Bombyx mori: one gene and its partners. The protein of the gene in region 2 interacts with the protein of the main gene of each other region in a pairwise test. Links are inferred from orthologs where the notes say so. Each region holds a gene or a part of one and is shown on either strand. Other genes may lie near its edges. The genes, in order: TATA element modulatory factor, ras small monomeric GTPase Rab6 and ecotropic viral integration site 5 ortholog.

Region 1 (4,383 bases), on a different chromosome or scaffold from region 2:
GAATAAATAATATGCAATCACTATTAGTTTAAAGATAAACCATTGATTACATAGCAAGTTGGGACCTATCTATGCCAATGGGATTTTTAAGAAGCTTTTCAACTTTAAGAACTCACCGAAGAGCCTTAATAACTTGTTCATTGTCTTTTTCTTTAACCCTCAGCTTTTTAATGATATTGGAATGCTGTAATTGTTGTTTGGATAGCTTTTCGCCTTCCTCCTGCAGCTGGGCTATCACATCATCTTTCTCTTTTATTATGTTTTCAAATTCTGATGAGTTCTTCCTAGATATACATTCAGACTTGAGGTTGTCTAATTGCTTTCTTAATTGGTCCTGAGAGAAAAGTGACTACTTGTAGATTAGTTGTACAAAGGCTATGATTGAAATTTTCATAATATTCAGAACATGTAAGTTTTTGACATTTCAGACCTGGGTTTGTAATGAAAATTTAATGGTAACCAGAATATGCCAAGCACAGGTCTATTCCAACCAATTTTTTTCTTATATCCATGGGAAAATCTATCACAGACATATAGCTATTTTTTGATTATGTTTCTCAATAAAACAATTATATATATAGAGTACCTTCTCTCTAATGGCCTGTTGGAATTTCTTCTCTAAAGCAGACATCCGTTGTGTATATTCTTCTGTTATACTATTAATATCTCCACCCTCATGCTTAGCTATTAAAGACTCAACTTGTGTCTTTAAATCTGCATTAGACTCTGCCAGTTCTGCATTATTTCTGCTCACTTCCATCAGTCTGTTTTCTCTGGCTTCCAATATCTCAGTCATTTCACACAGCCTCCTCATCAACCTTTCATTTTCAGAATTTTGACTGTCATCACTATTGTTACTTTGCACAGATGCCTCAGACAGTTCCCTGTTGTGGCCCCTTATTTTTGTGGCTAAAGACTTGCCTAGCACCAAGTCAACCAAATTAGGAGAAATACTTCCATCAAATTTGAATGGTTTGAGTCCATACTTAGCAGGGCTATTTCTAAAGCTATTTCCATCACCATTTGGACTTGGTATAATTTCTATGTCTGAAGAAGTAGTCGTTTCTAAATCATCTCCTGAAGTGTGACCTGAAGTTCTGTCTGAACCAACTTTTACTAGATCACTTTTGCTGTCAGAACTGACTGGAGATGTTCTTTCTTTCATGGAGACATCTTTCTGTGAACTACTGCTCTGGGATGCACTACAGTTTTGTTGCTCAATATTAATGAAACTACCAGATCTTGTCATGTCACTGGTGACATTGACATTGTAGAATGAGGAGGAATCACTAAGTTTCTCAATCAAAACATCATCATGATCATCTTTCTTTGACTCTTCAATATTTTCTAGGTTGATACTGTCATTGTCTGCATTTAAGGTTCTGTCAGAACATGAGCCATCATTAGAAGAGTTTTCACAAACCTGAATCTTCTGCAGAGTTACATGATCAACATTTAGAAATTCTTTTTCTACTAGCTTCCTTGTGTCTTTCTTTTGAAACGGACTGATTGGTTTATCATCCGTGTCAAGTACAGTGGGCGCTGTGCATTCAGAGATGGAATTATAGGATATTGTGTCTTCATCGTCATCAGCAACTAGACTTACACTATCTGCTGTCTCTGGCTTTTCTGTTACATCTCCTAGCGCTGACTTTTTGTCATTGACATCAGGTGATGGATTTGATGATAAACTGCTATTTTTATCACTTGAATAACTATCAAATCCAAGACATTCTATGGAACTTGGGCTCATCAAACTATCTAGTAGAATCTCCACTGATTCAGAATTCTGTTTTTGACCTGTACTACTACTTGACATCGACTGTCCAGATGCTTCTGAATCTGGTGTAGTTTTTAGGCTATGTGATAGTACTTCGACAGAATCAGAACTTTCATTTCGACTAGACATAAATGACAATGCATTAGATCGTGAAGAGCCCCTTCTGTCTTCAACTTTAGGCTCCTCAGGCTTAGGTTTAGTCTCCACACCATCAGTGTCAGACATAACAAGTTGACTTTTTGAAAACAAGTCATCCTGACTTCCAAATTTGGTATCAGGTATAATGTTCAAAGATTTAGCTTTGGGAGGTTTAATTATGGTGACTGCACTATCACCTTTAGTCTGAGTTTCGAAAAAAGAACCGGCGAAGGAACCCCACAAACTCTGCGAGTTCAATTTCGAAGGACTTTCAGTAACGACGGGCTGGATATTTATTGTTTCTTCGTTACTAGCGCTCATCCCTAGTCCCCAAGACGTGAAAAAATCACCTTCATTTTGCAGACTTTGTGTCTTACCTGATGATCGTTCGCTCTCGTTGTTAGTTGGTGATGGCTGATCTTCCTCATTTTCACTATCATCCTGTATGTCCAAAGCCTTATCAATAGTCTTCTGAGCACCTTTGAGCGCAGTCTTAGCGAGGCTCGTAATACCTGACGTATCAAACCAGTTCATGTTCAGGCGTCATCAGACACAACATTAAGATTTTAGGAATAATCAGAACGACATTTTATTTTGAATGAGGTCATTCGAAGAAATTTGTTGTTAGAAAACTTCGTCAACATTGATCAACAATTCAACATAGTCCAATGACGTTTCCATTTTGTTATTATTTATGTATTGACCTGGATTCTAGCCTTTTAAGCCAAATGTTATTTTTTATAAAGTCTTGGATTCTTTATCGAAAAAGTAAAATAGAACGAATTAAATGAAGTAAATTCTAAAATTAATTGTGGAAATAAGCTCTCAATATTAAATAAAAAGAGCACGAACTTTCTGTGAATTCAATGAACTGTTTGAAAATATCCGAAAAACCAAAGAGTATATAATTCGAGAAACCACCTGAACGGGCCCATCCGGTCACCGTGCTCGTCGAACCCGTCGCTTGCGACGAAGGGCTCGACGAGTAAATTAACTCTCAGACACAGCCCACTGAGTTTCTCGCCGGATCTTCTCAGTGGGTCGCGTTTCCGATCCGGTGGTAGATTCTGCGAAGCACGACTCTTGCTAGGGTTCGTGTTAGCATCGTCGTCAGGTTTGAGCCCCGTGAGCTCACCTACTAGTTAAGGTTCCGCTGGAATAGCCTCTCTAGGCTACCAGCCTAGGTAGGAAAAGAAAAAAAAAAGAACGGGCCCTTTCTTTAGATTGTTTGGTGGCTTACATTTAGGAAAGAGGTCCGGAACGAGCGGAAAAGTATTTTTATACTTTTTCTTTCCATAAAGCTTTTCAAAATCTATTTCCAAGATATTATTGTCTGTAATTGCAATCTTTGAGTTGATGAAATAATCGGTTTGAATGATTGAATAAATTATAATTATAATAGACTATAATCTAATAGTACGGTACATAACTTTTATTGAAAATAAATTTTAAACTATTTGTCGTCGATTTTTGTCTGTATCTATGAGAGTACCTCCCATTATATTTGAAAGATCAATTAATGAAGATATCTCTGATTTTTTACTAAGTTTTTCTCATTAAATGACTAAATTATGATAATGATAATGACATAAAACTTTTTTAATTTATACAAACAAAACAACGGCGAACTGAATTCTGTAAAACTTTATTTAGCTTTTAACCTAATGGTTCATCATGGTACCAATTTGAGTATTCCATACTTAAATTAGCATGTCCATTTAATACAAATAAAATTGAGCATGCTTTAAGAATGGATCGGCTGATATTGCTGATACAGCGGAGTGTGATTTTGTTAGTAATTGATTAAAATTAACTGTTATTGTTGTTATTAGGCACATTAACACGTTTGCAATACTAAAAAATATTTTATTTTATTTCAATGTTACGAATATGTTTATGCATCTCTAATAGACGCCCTCAATTTATAAAATTAAATCAGTACCTAAGTGGCTCACTACTTGGCGATTAAATATTACACTTTTAAATCACATTAAATAAAGATTTAGCAAATAGCAATATTTGTTTATATTAATTTCGAGGATTCTTTCAGTTTAAATATGTTAATTATGTATTTAGTTTTTGTTCGTACGTAAAAAAAAGTATTGAATTTGTTTGACATAGTCTATTACTAAGTAATATATATTTTCGACCACGTTCCCATCGCTCCAGTGGCGCAATTGGTTAGCGCACGGTACTTATAAGACAGTGTACGTGTGAGTAATGCCGGGGTTGTGAGTTCGAGCCTCACCTGGAGCATATTTTTTATTCATTGTTGTCCATTTTTTATTATTTTATACTTTTAAAATAAAATATTTTGGACTACATTGTTTAGTATTATTAGTTAATTATGATACTATTATTTTTATTATTTTAAATTTTAATGAACTATACCTCAGAAATAATGACATCTCCCATCAGATTAGGAAAATATACAATTACTAACGACCTGCCCTCGCTTCGCTTAG
Region 2 (4,283 bases):
TCATCGCACATGGGTGGTCGAGCTCACAGCCCACCTGGTGTTAAGTGTTTACTGGAGCCCATAGACATCAATAACGTAAATGCGCCACCCACCTTGAGATATAAGTTCTAAGATCTCAGTATAGTTACAACGGCTGCCCCACCCTTCAAACAGATACGCATTACGGCTTCACGGCAGAAATAGGCGGAGTCGTGGTACCTACCCGCGCGGACTCACAAGAGGTCCTACCACCAGTAATTACGCAAATTATAATTTTGCGGGTTTCACTTAAATTACACAATGTTATTCCTTCACTGTGGAAGTCAATCGTGAACATTTGTTGAGTACGTATTTCATTAGAAAAATTGGTACCCGCCTGCGGGATTCGTCTTATCTCTTAGGCCACGACGACTTCAAAACAAACATAACTTACAAGCTTAATCGTATTATACCAAAAATCTTCTTTATAGTGCAGAATTAAAAAGCAACATCTTAGTAAGTAGTAACCACTCTAGGAGATTAGGAATTATCAAATTAGATAGGAAAATAGATGGGGCTATTGTTACATCGAGGTGATGATAGAGAAATAGCAGCAGTAGCTCCTGGATGCTGCACTCGTATTATCTGAGATCTTAGAAGAGTTATGGATGCCTTGTGTGGATTCGATGTTGAATAATACAGGGTGTCGTGTCCATTGCTAAGCCAAAACAACAATAAACTTCTAGCATAGAGTAGGTAAATGGAAAATAATATTTATAAATAGGCAAAGACAAGAAGTTCTTGTTGTCTTGTTTTTCAGCTGACTTTCATGTCACCATGGTAAAAATGGAAAATTCTTGTTGGCACTTTTACAAACCAAATGTCGATGGCTAACACACAAAAATGTCGCGTAATCCATTTGGTTTAAACATTTAGACAGTTTTGTAACTTCACGAGAGGGCCATTTAAAGATAAAAATTTGGAAAAAATATGCTACCGCAACTTAAATTGGAATAACATAATTGGAGTTTAATTAAAAACATCGAATTGTTGATGCTAATCTATACTAATATATAAATTTACTGTGGTTTTTACTGATGTTCCATTATAACTACTGAACCATCCATCCGATGGACTTGAAACTTGGTATCCGTGTAGAAAATACATGTACTTAATGGATAGGCTTATATTTATATGAGTGTTGGACTCCCTACACCAGTTGCAGGGGTGTTAATGATGAGAATCTTTGTGGGGGTGAGAAATAATAATGTTAATTTTAAATGCCCAGCGAAGCGGACGGGTACAGCTAGTACCAAATAAATACCTAATACCTAGATAAATGTCTCTTAAACAAATAACCCTTCACCCCTTAATATAATGAATCTAAATTTTAAAATGTCATTGATTTTATAGATGAATTTCAGCCTTTAAGTGAATACTAGTTGAATGAAATATACATTATAATGATATTTCGCATATAAATATATTGTGAGAGTGTAATGTAACAAGAAGGGAGATCACACACATTCCCTTGAGACTTCAGACAGACAGACATATCATCTTAGTTACATCTTTTTAATTACATTGTACAAAGTAATAAATACATTTGTAAAGGATAAATTGTTAATTTAAAAAACTACTGTAAGGGATTTTCTAATATGGATCACAGCAAATCAAATTCCTCAATCTGTATTAATTTCTAGACCCAATTTAAATGTGAACAAAATTTTAATTATAGTTCACTCTATTATTTTTTTGCAACCTTTGAACTTTATTCAAAACCTGTGACATCCAAAGATTTATGGGTAAAATGGACTAGAATAACATTATGTAGGAGGGGCTAAAAAGCTCTCTCAATAATCTCAAATAATGCTAGGTGCTTAACAAAAGTTTGGTGTCCACAAGAGTATCTAAGTTTTGATGGGATGAGTAAAGAAACATTAATTCTACAGCAGAAGCTAAAATTTAATAATAAAAATAAAATAGGTTAAGATATTTTATAATTAGCAATCAATGTGTTGTGGAAAAACATTTCAAATGTGAATGCTAATTTTTGTATTTTTATTACAGAACAAAAGTTATTAACAATAATAAATGTTCAACAAAAAATGCATTTTTTATTTTAAGTGATCAAGTCTTAAAGCTTATGATTATAAGTATTCAATTAAGGATAAATAATAAGAATTTACTTTGTCAAACGTATCCATAGCTGTATTTCTATGTTGATCAAGTTTAATGATGAAAATTATCAAATGTATCGAACTTAATTTTTGAAACCATGGCTTGATAGTTTATACTTTTACGACTGCATAGGTCTCTGACTCACCTGATAAGTATTGTCGAAGCTGTCGTACATGAATCTAGTGATGAGAGACGTCTTCCCAACTGAAAGAAAAACAATGTCATACCATTCAATCCCATTATCGCACTACACGCGAATTAATAAGAAAATTTATTTTCGATAGCGGCACAACCGTGAGAACATTGTACGCTCACAATACGATGAGAGAACGTAACCTACATCAGTCACGTAATTCAGCGCTCTAGAAACGAAATTACATTAAAAAACTATAATCGAAGAGCAATGAGAAAAAAACTGCCTTTAAAACCCAGCCCGGACTATCTAGGTCAGTAATTCAATAAAGTCTAGACGAATCTATCCTTACATATCGTAAATTCAAAACTGTATATTAAAAATGTACAAGAGCAAAACTACATTTTTGCCGTATACTTACCACTCTGTTCGCCGAGAAAGACAAGCTTGAATTTGCGTAAAGGATTACCAAATTCACCCGATGTAGACATCGTTATTGTTTTAATTATTACGCTAAACTATAATTTTACAGTAATCTTATCACAGAAAACTACATGAAAATGAACGTTCCACAATGACAGTTCGAACCACTCCTGCGACAGGCGAGCGCAGCGCCGCCACGTTACGGCAGACTGACGGCGCGACGAACTAGCCAACTCAGCAAATCTACTAATGACTCAACATAGCATACTGCGAACAAAAAAAAACATTTCAATTCGTATTTTAGATTGGGATCTAAAACAATGAAAATACATTCCTAATTTAAGTTTCTTTCTAAACTATGTATTTGATTTTCTTGAAAGTATATACGTTTCCGAACGATACAATTATTATTCTGATTGCAACAAAGACATCCATCCATTTTTGGGAATGATATTTTATTGGAACGAAGTTCCTTACGGCAGGCTTGGAGGAGATAGGGATTTTGCTGCGCGACCGAACTGAAAAAATGTGATAGTAAAACCGTAAGAAAAAGTCCGTGGAATAAAACCGTTAAATGAGACGTGCGCAGGCGCGACAGTCGTATACACAAGCAAATAGTTTAGAATTCCTTTCTCTTTCTCCTTCTTTCTTTTCGTTCTCTCATCCCTTCTCTCTCTATTTTGTAATTATTTCTATTTCTATGTAATTTTATGTTGTCAAACAAAAATAAAGATATATTTTGTTATTTTAATTGATAATTTGAATTAAGTTTTATTTATTTATTTTACGTAATTTATGATTTCCTAAAATATTGAATTTCCTAAATACTCTCCTGTATTTAAATAAAAACTAATCAGCAAAATTTAAGAGAAAAATCAAGAAAACCTACATAAAATTGAGCACGATTTTTTTTTTGCAAATTGTGTCGATTCTACATTAGCCGAAGGAACTTCGTTCCTACCTGGTGTCCCACGACACCACATCTTGTATTTTATAAACACATTCTTTTTTGTTAGGCATGATTGGCTAATTATTATGCTATGGATATGTTATGAATAATTTCATGGCTCACCGGGTGTTAAATTATGTAAAATGTAACTGGCTTTGTCAACCTGACGCCATCTCAATAAAAATTTTGATAAGTTACATTAACGTTCTCTATTTTTTTACAAAATAAGCTTATTTTAGTTGTCATAGTTTAGTTTAAGCATAATTAAGGGATGTGCACTCGAAATCAACCAATAGAAATCGATGCTTAAATGGACAATGCAGGGCAATGTGATATTTTCGTTAGATGTGTTTATTGCTGTGACTCGACTAGAATTGAAAGTAGGTACCTAAGTGGTCAGAACACACAGTGACACACATAATAAAACTCGTTATATTTTTGGCGGGAACGCGAAGAGTGAAGTTGTGTGATTTGTTTTATTTTGTCTATTTAGTGTTTCCTTCTTCAGGTTTAAATGTGTATTAACGGTGGTTTATTTACTGTTTCATATCTGTGAAAGTGCACAAATGTGGGAAAATGAAACAAAGCCGCTGAACGTAACTTCTCGGGATCCTCCAAAAAGTCCACTGAAAAAGTCTC
Region 3 (4,148 bases), on a different chromosome or scaffold from region 2:
AGAGGTCCTACCACCAGTGACTCCCAAGAGGTCCTACCACCAGTGGTGTTTGTTAAATAATACTAACGTCTGGGTCAGAACTTTTTTTTGGTTTATTAAAATCATAGTACTTGGGAAAACGTTTTTAGCAGAGTACTTAAATCTTTAAGTCTGAAAGTAGTGTAAAGTTTAAGTATACTGCGAACTTCTACCCGTAAGAAAGGCAATCCATAAAAAACTAGATTTAGCTAGATATACCGGTTTTAGACTAAGTTAAAGTTTTTAGAAGGTAAAATGTTGTTCTGTTATAGCCAGAATCCATTTACTTAGTCTCCTACTGCTGCCATCTAGTTTAGATACGAAGTATTAAAATAAATCAAGAAAAAGTGATTAAAACGATTTGAAACGATTCTTGATATTCATTTATGCCGGTCAAATTACACTATTATTATAATATAGTATGCTGTATGTACTATAAGCGCTTAGGTTAAACTTACACTTGTGTGAACCTATGTTAACGCTTCTTATTTTCACAAAGGTCATCACTTTCCAATCTCTGTATACATAATTTACCTTTAACCACATGGATCAAATTTACAAGAGAATTATTGATGAGATGCCGACTTGTTGCTATAATTCATTATTATCTAGGATCAACGGAATAAATGAATATTTTATATTTTATAGTTTGGGTAGGTTTATCTAGTACTGATGAAATTACTGATCAATGTTAACATACAATACTGATTACCTTCTGGGGTACCGAAACCTAGACTGCGAGGCATCGCGAGCTTATACCCTCCCCTAGGCTCTTCGAGAAAGCGGCGCGGCACGTTAACTCTCTTGAATTGATCGCCTTTAACTGTATCTCCGACCCAGAGGACGGAAAGTCCCTTTGGCTATTTCAGCTACTATATGCATACACACGTAAAATACCACTAATCAGTTAGGAAAAAAGTGCCCGAGAAATACGTTCCTCACCCGTGAGTTTGAAAGCCTGGTTCTTTCCTCATGGAGTTACACTTGTGTAAGGTGCGGGCAAAATAGCTTTACAAGTTGTTTTTTTGGGTCTCTCTCGCTTTTCACAATAGTCACAAGGACCTAAAAATATCTGGTGTTATGGGCAAGTTTCCCTTTGCATTTTCAGATAAACAATTGAGTACATAAATTTATGTTAAATACCCATTGGATCTTTTAAATATTTAACTACAAGTCGACTACGGCATTTTTATTTGGGCGAGAAAACATTTGAATCCCATGGCACCGTTAATAGAGCTTATATTTGTGTTGGCATTGACATCACTATCACATGTCAAAGTAACGAGACACAAAGAGACATCTTTGCTAAAGTTTGCTGTGTATAGTCTGTATTCTGAAGTATCTGGAGTTTTAAATTTTGCCAGCTGGGCGGTTCCAATATTTATTTTATTTATGAAAAGAAAATAATTGTTTTACGAATTAATATCGGAGTCTCAGTTCCCGGAAGCTGTGAAGAATCAAATTATTTAATAAATTTAGTGTTATGCTGATACGTAAGTAAAATTAAATTTAAACTACGTGGTAATCTGTTACATGTCGATTGAAATCAATACCAAGCTGTTGCGAAAGTAATATTGTAAATTAGTACATTAACCTTACAGTTCTACTGAGTGTTCGCCGGAAAAGTCGAGCATAAAAAATGCATTGTAGGAATTGTAGGTATGATAAATCATTTAAACAACCCTCTAAATTTGTAGTCAGTGAGTTCTTATGTCTGATTTCTATAAAGATCAAGTAAATATTTACCATGACAACAATGATGAATATTAACAAAATTCTCAAAATAAAAGTAGACAGTATATTTAAAACACTTTTTTCCTGATATAATTTTTTTGAACCAAATTTTCACTCACAACTAATTCCTTTATTAAACGATAAAACTAAAACAAACAAAAGCTTTGAGTAACAAGTCTCAAAAGCTTACCTAATTACCTAAAGACACAATTTTTCCAAATGTTTTTTAAACAGAATGAAACTAGTCTAAGTAACAATTTTGCAGGCATACTTGTTGCTACACATCAGATAAAAATTTAATTTCTTTAATGTTTCTTCCTAACTCTTGCTATTTTTAATTCACATTAATACAAAGATTGGTTTAATAATTTTAGTTGTACCTAATGTATTTATGATCTGGCCCATAAATAGTTTAACATCACAAATTTAAAGAAAAGGACTCTTACAATACATGTTATAATACAATGTCCTTCTCATAATTATAATTTAATACAAAATAATCAATAATGCAAGATGACAGCATCTATGCAAAGTTTTAACTGAATTGGAGAAACAACTTGCGAATTTGTTTTATTTTCAGTTTCCTATCCAGTTGCACTATTCACTGGCTCCTTGACATCTCTCTAGCTCCTGCCAGCAATCCTCATCTCACCATTATTTTCATTAAATATGTCAAATTAGTTTATATCCTGTAGACCCTTGAAAATATTTGATACAGGACTTAAGAGCCAAAGAATAATATAATATAAGGATACTACCATATAACTGCTGATATTTAAGGACCAACCTCATGTCGTAAATAACTGCAGGCTATCTGTTAAAATTTTAAAGCACTAAGTTAAAAGCTTTCACCATAACCCTTAAAAAACAGCTGTATGAAATTACAATTTACTTAGATAATTGTGTGTGACCCAGAATTTGTAGAAGTTGCACACCTTACCTGGGTATATAGTGTTTAAAAACACAGAAAAATTATAATGTATAAGGAAACAAACGAATCTATAATTAAAAATATTAAATCTAGAGCTCAATTTAGAGTTTACAATGTTTTTAAATATTCAGATTTTTGTTGAAAATCTATTGAATGTCTATTTTCACCCCTAAAAAACCTTTTAACAGTCATCACTAGTAAACCAATAATTAACCTTTCTTAAACACATTTTACACAGCTCTATTGCATTACAGTTTTTTACAGCTCAATGACTTTTTGAGTCATCACCATAACTTCTAACATAAGACACCTTGATTGATACTTAAATCAATTTCTATAGATGGCTTCACCATCAACTCAAATTATAGATACAGTACAATAATTCAGTAATATAATGAATTATTTTACCATGCTATAGTAATTCATGAAAACGCCATATTAATAACACTTAGAGCTGTAGAAATCATGGTATTTTTTTATGTTTTCATGTAAAAGACATATTGGTTGGTGTACGCAAAAAAACAACTCTGATTACTTAAAATAATTTTATCTTTTTTGTCATAGTGGTTCTGTTTATTATAAACAATACATAATTGTTCTTTTGATAAAAATTGATTTTAGACAATGCCTTTGTGACATGTGTCAAAGTGTGACTATGAAAAAATCACCACTTACCAAATAACTCCTTCAGACAACATGCACATTGTGACGAACGGTAGTCATATTATTCTCAGAAAAATCACTAAGTACCTGCCCGAATGCTCTGTCCCAAATTTAAATAAAAGTAGGTAAATTAATTGCAATTGTTTTGTATTTTTTTTAAACCTGTTAACAATGTACTAACTCTAACATTTTAAAAAAACTACTCAAAAATGTATTTTGAATAATTATTTACTTGCTGGTCATAACTATTGCAGTGATTTCAAAACCACATATTTTCCATAATTTCAGGTACATTAAAACATTAGGAAAACAGTCAATACCCTTCGACTTGCCTCTTGCATAACACTTAATTGCTCAGCGAAAACTTATTAACATATCTATATACTTACTATGAATATTTTTTATGTTTATTTTATGTTAAGAAACCAAATAGGTACATTGCTTTTTCCTTAAAATTTATTACTTTATTGTTATATTTATATTAAGTCATAATCACAGATATTTTTATTCAATTTGTAACTTTTTTACTCGGTGAAAGTGAATTTGTGATTAATTATTTCTATATTTATATTACATATAAAATATTGCTTTCAAACACCTTTAAAAATATAATGGTTCTTAACTTTTTATAAACATATGTAATAGGATCACTAACTAAAACTAATTACATGCTCTGCGAAGTTATCCAGTTCAGATACTAGCTACTTTCTTTTTTAAAAACAAACTTACGTTAAGAACTTTACCTGCCTACATAGGTAACATTAAATTATCATTTAAATGAATACAACAAAACAATTATGAT

The links.
Region 1: the proteins of ras small monomeric GTPase Rab6 (region 2) and TATA element modulatory factor interact in a two-hybrid assay, tested with the Drosophila melanogaster proteins (2 studies listed by BioGRID). The link is inferred for Bombyx mori from reciprocal best matches to the Drosophila melanogaster genes Rab6 and Tmf.
Region 3: the proteins of ras small monomeric GTPase Rab6 (region 2) and ecotropic viral integration site 5 ortholog interact in a two-hybrid assay, tested with the Drosophila melanogaster proteins (2 studies listed by BioGRID). The link is inferred for Bombyx mori from reciprocal best matches to the Drosophila melanogaster genes Rab6 and Evi5.

The regions. Positions count from the first base shown.
Region 1 is NC_085117.1:6,185,829-6,190,211, reverse strand, and holds the start of TATA element modulatory factor, read right to left. Parts: upstream 2,847-4,383; 5' UTR 2,453-2,846; coding exon 587-2,452; intron 335-586; coding exon 117-334; intron 1-116.
Region 2 is NC_085111.1:16,052,841-16,057,123, reverse strand, and holds the start of ras small monomeric GTPase Rab6, read right to left. Parts: upstream 2,891-4,283; 5' UTR 2,764-2,890; coding exon 2,694-2,763; intron 2,344-2,693; coding exon 2,285-2,343; intron 1-2,284. UniProt on the Drosophila melanogaster protein: Protein transport. Regulator of membrane traffic from the Golgi apparatus towards the endoplasmic reticulum (ER). Mediates membrane trafficking during egg chamber growth and organization, possibly upstream of exocyst component Sec5.
Region 3 is NC_085107.1:9,518,519-9,522,666, reverse strand, and holds the start of ecotropic viral integration site 5 ortholog, read left to right. Parts: upstream 1-1,212; 5' UTR 1,213-1,511; intron 1,512-4,148. UniProt on the Drosophila melanogaster protein: Functions as a GTPase-activating protein (GAP). During border cell migration in the ovary, acts as a GAP for Rab11 and is necessary for the maintenance of active receptor tyrosine kinases at the leading edge.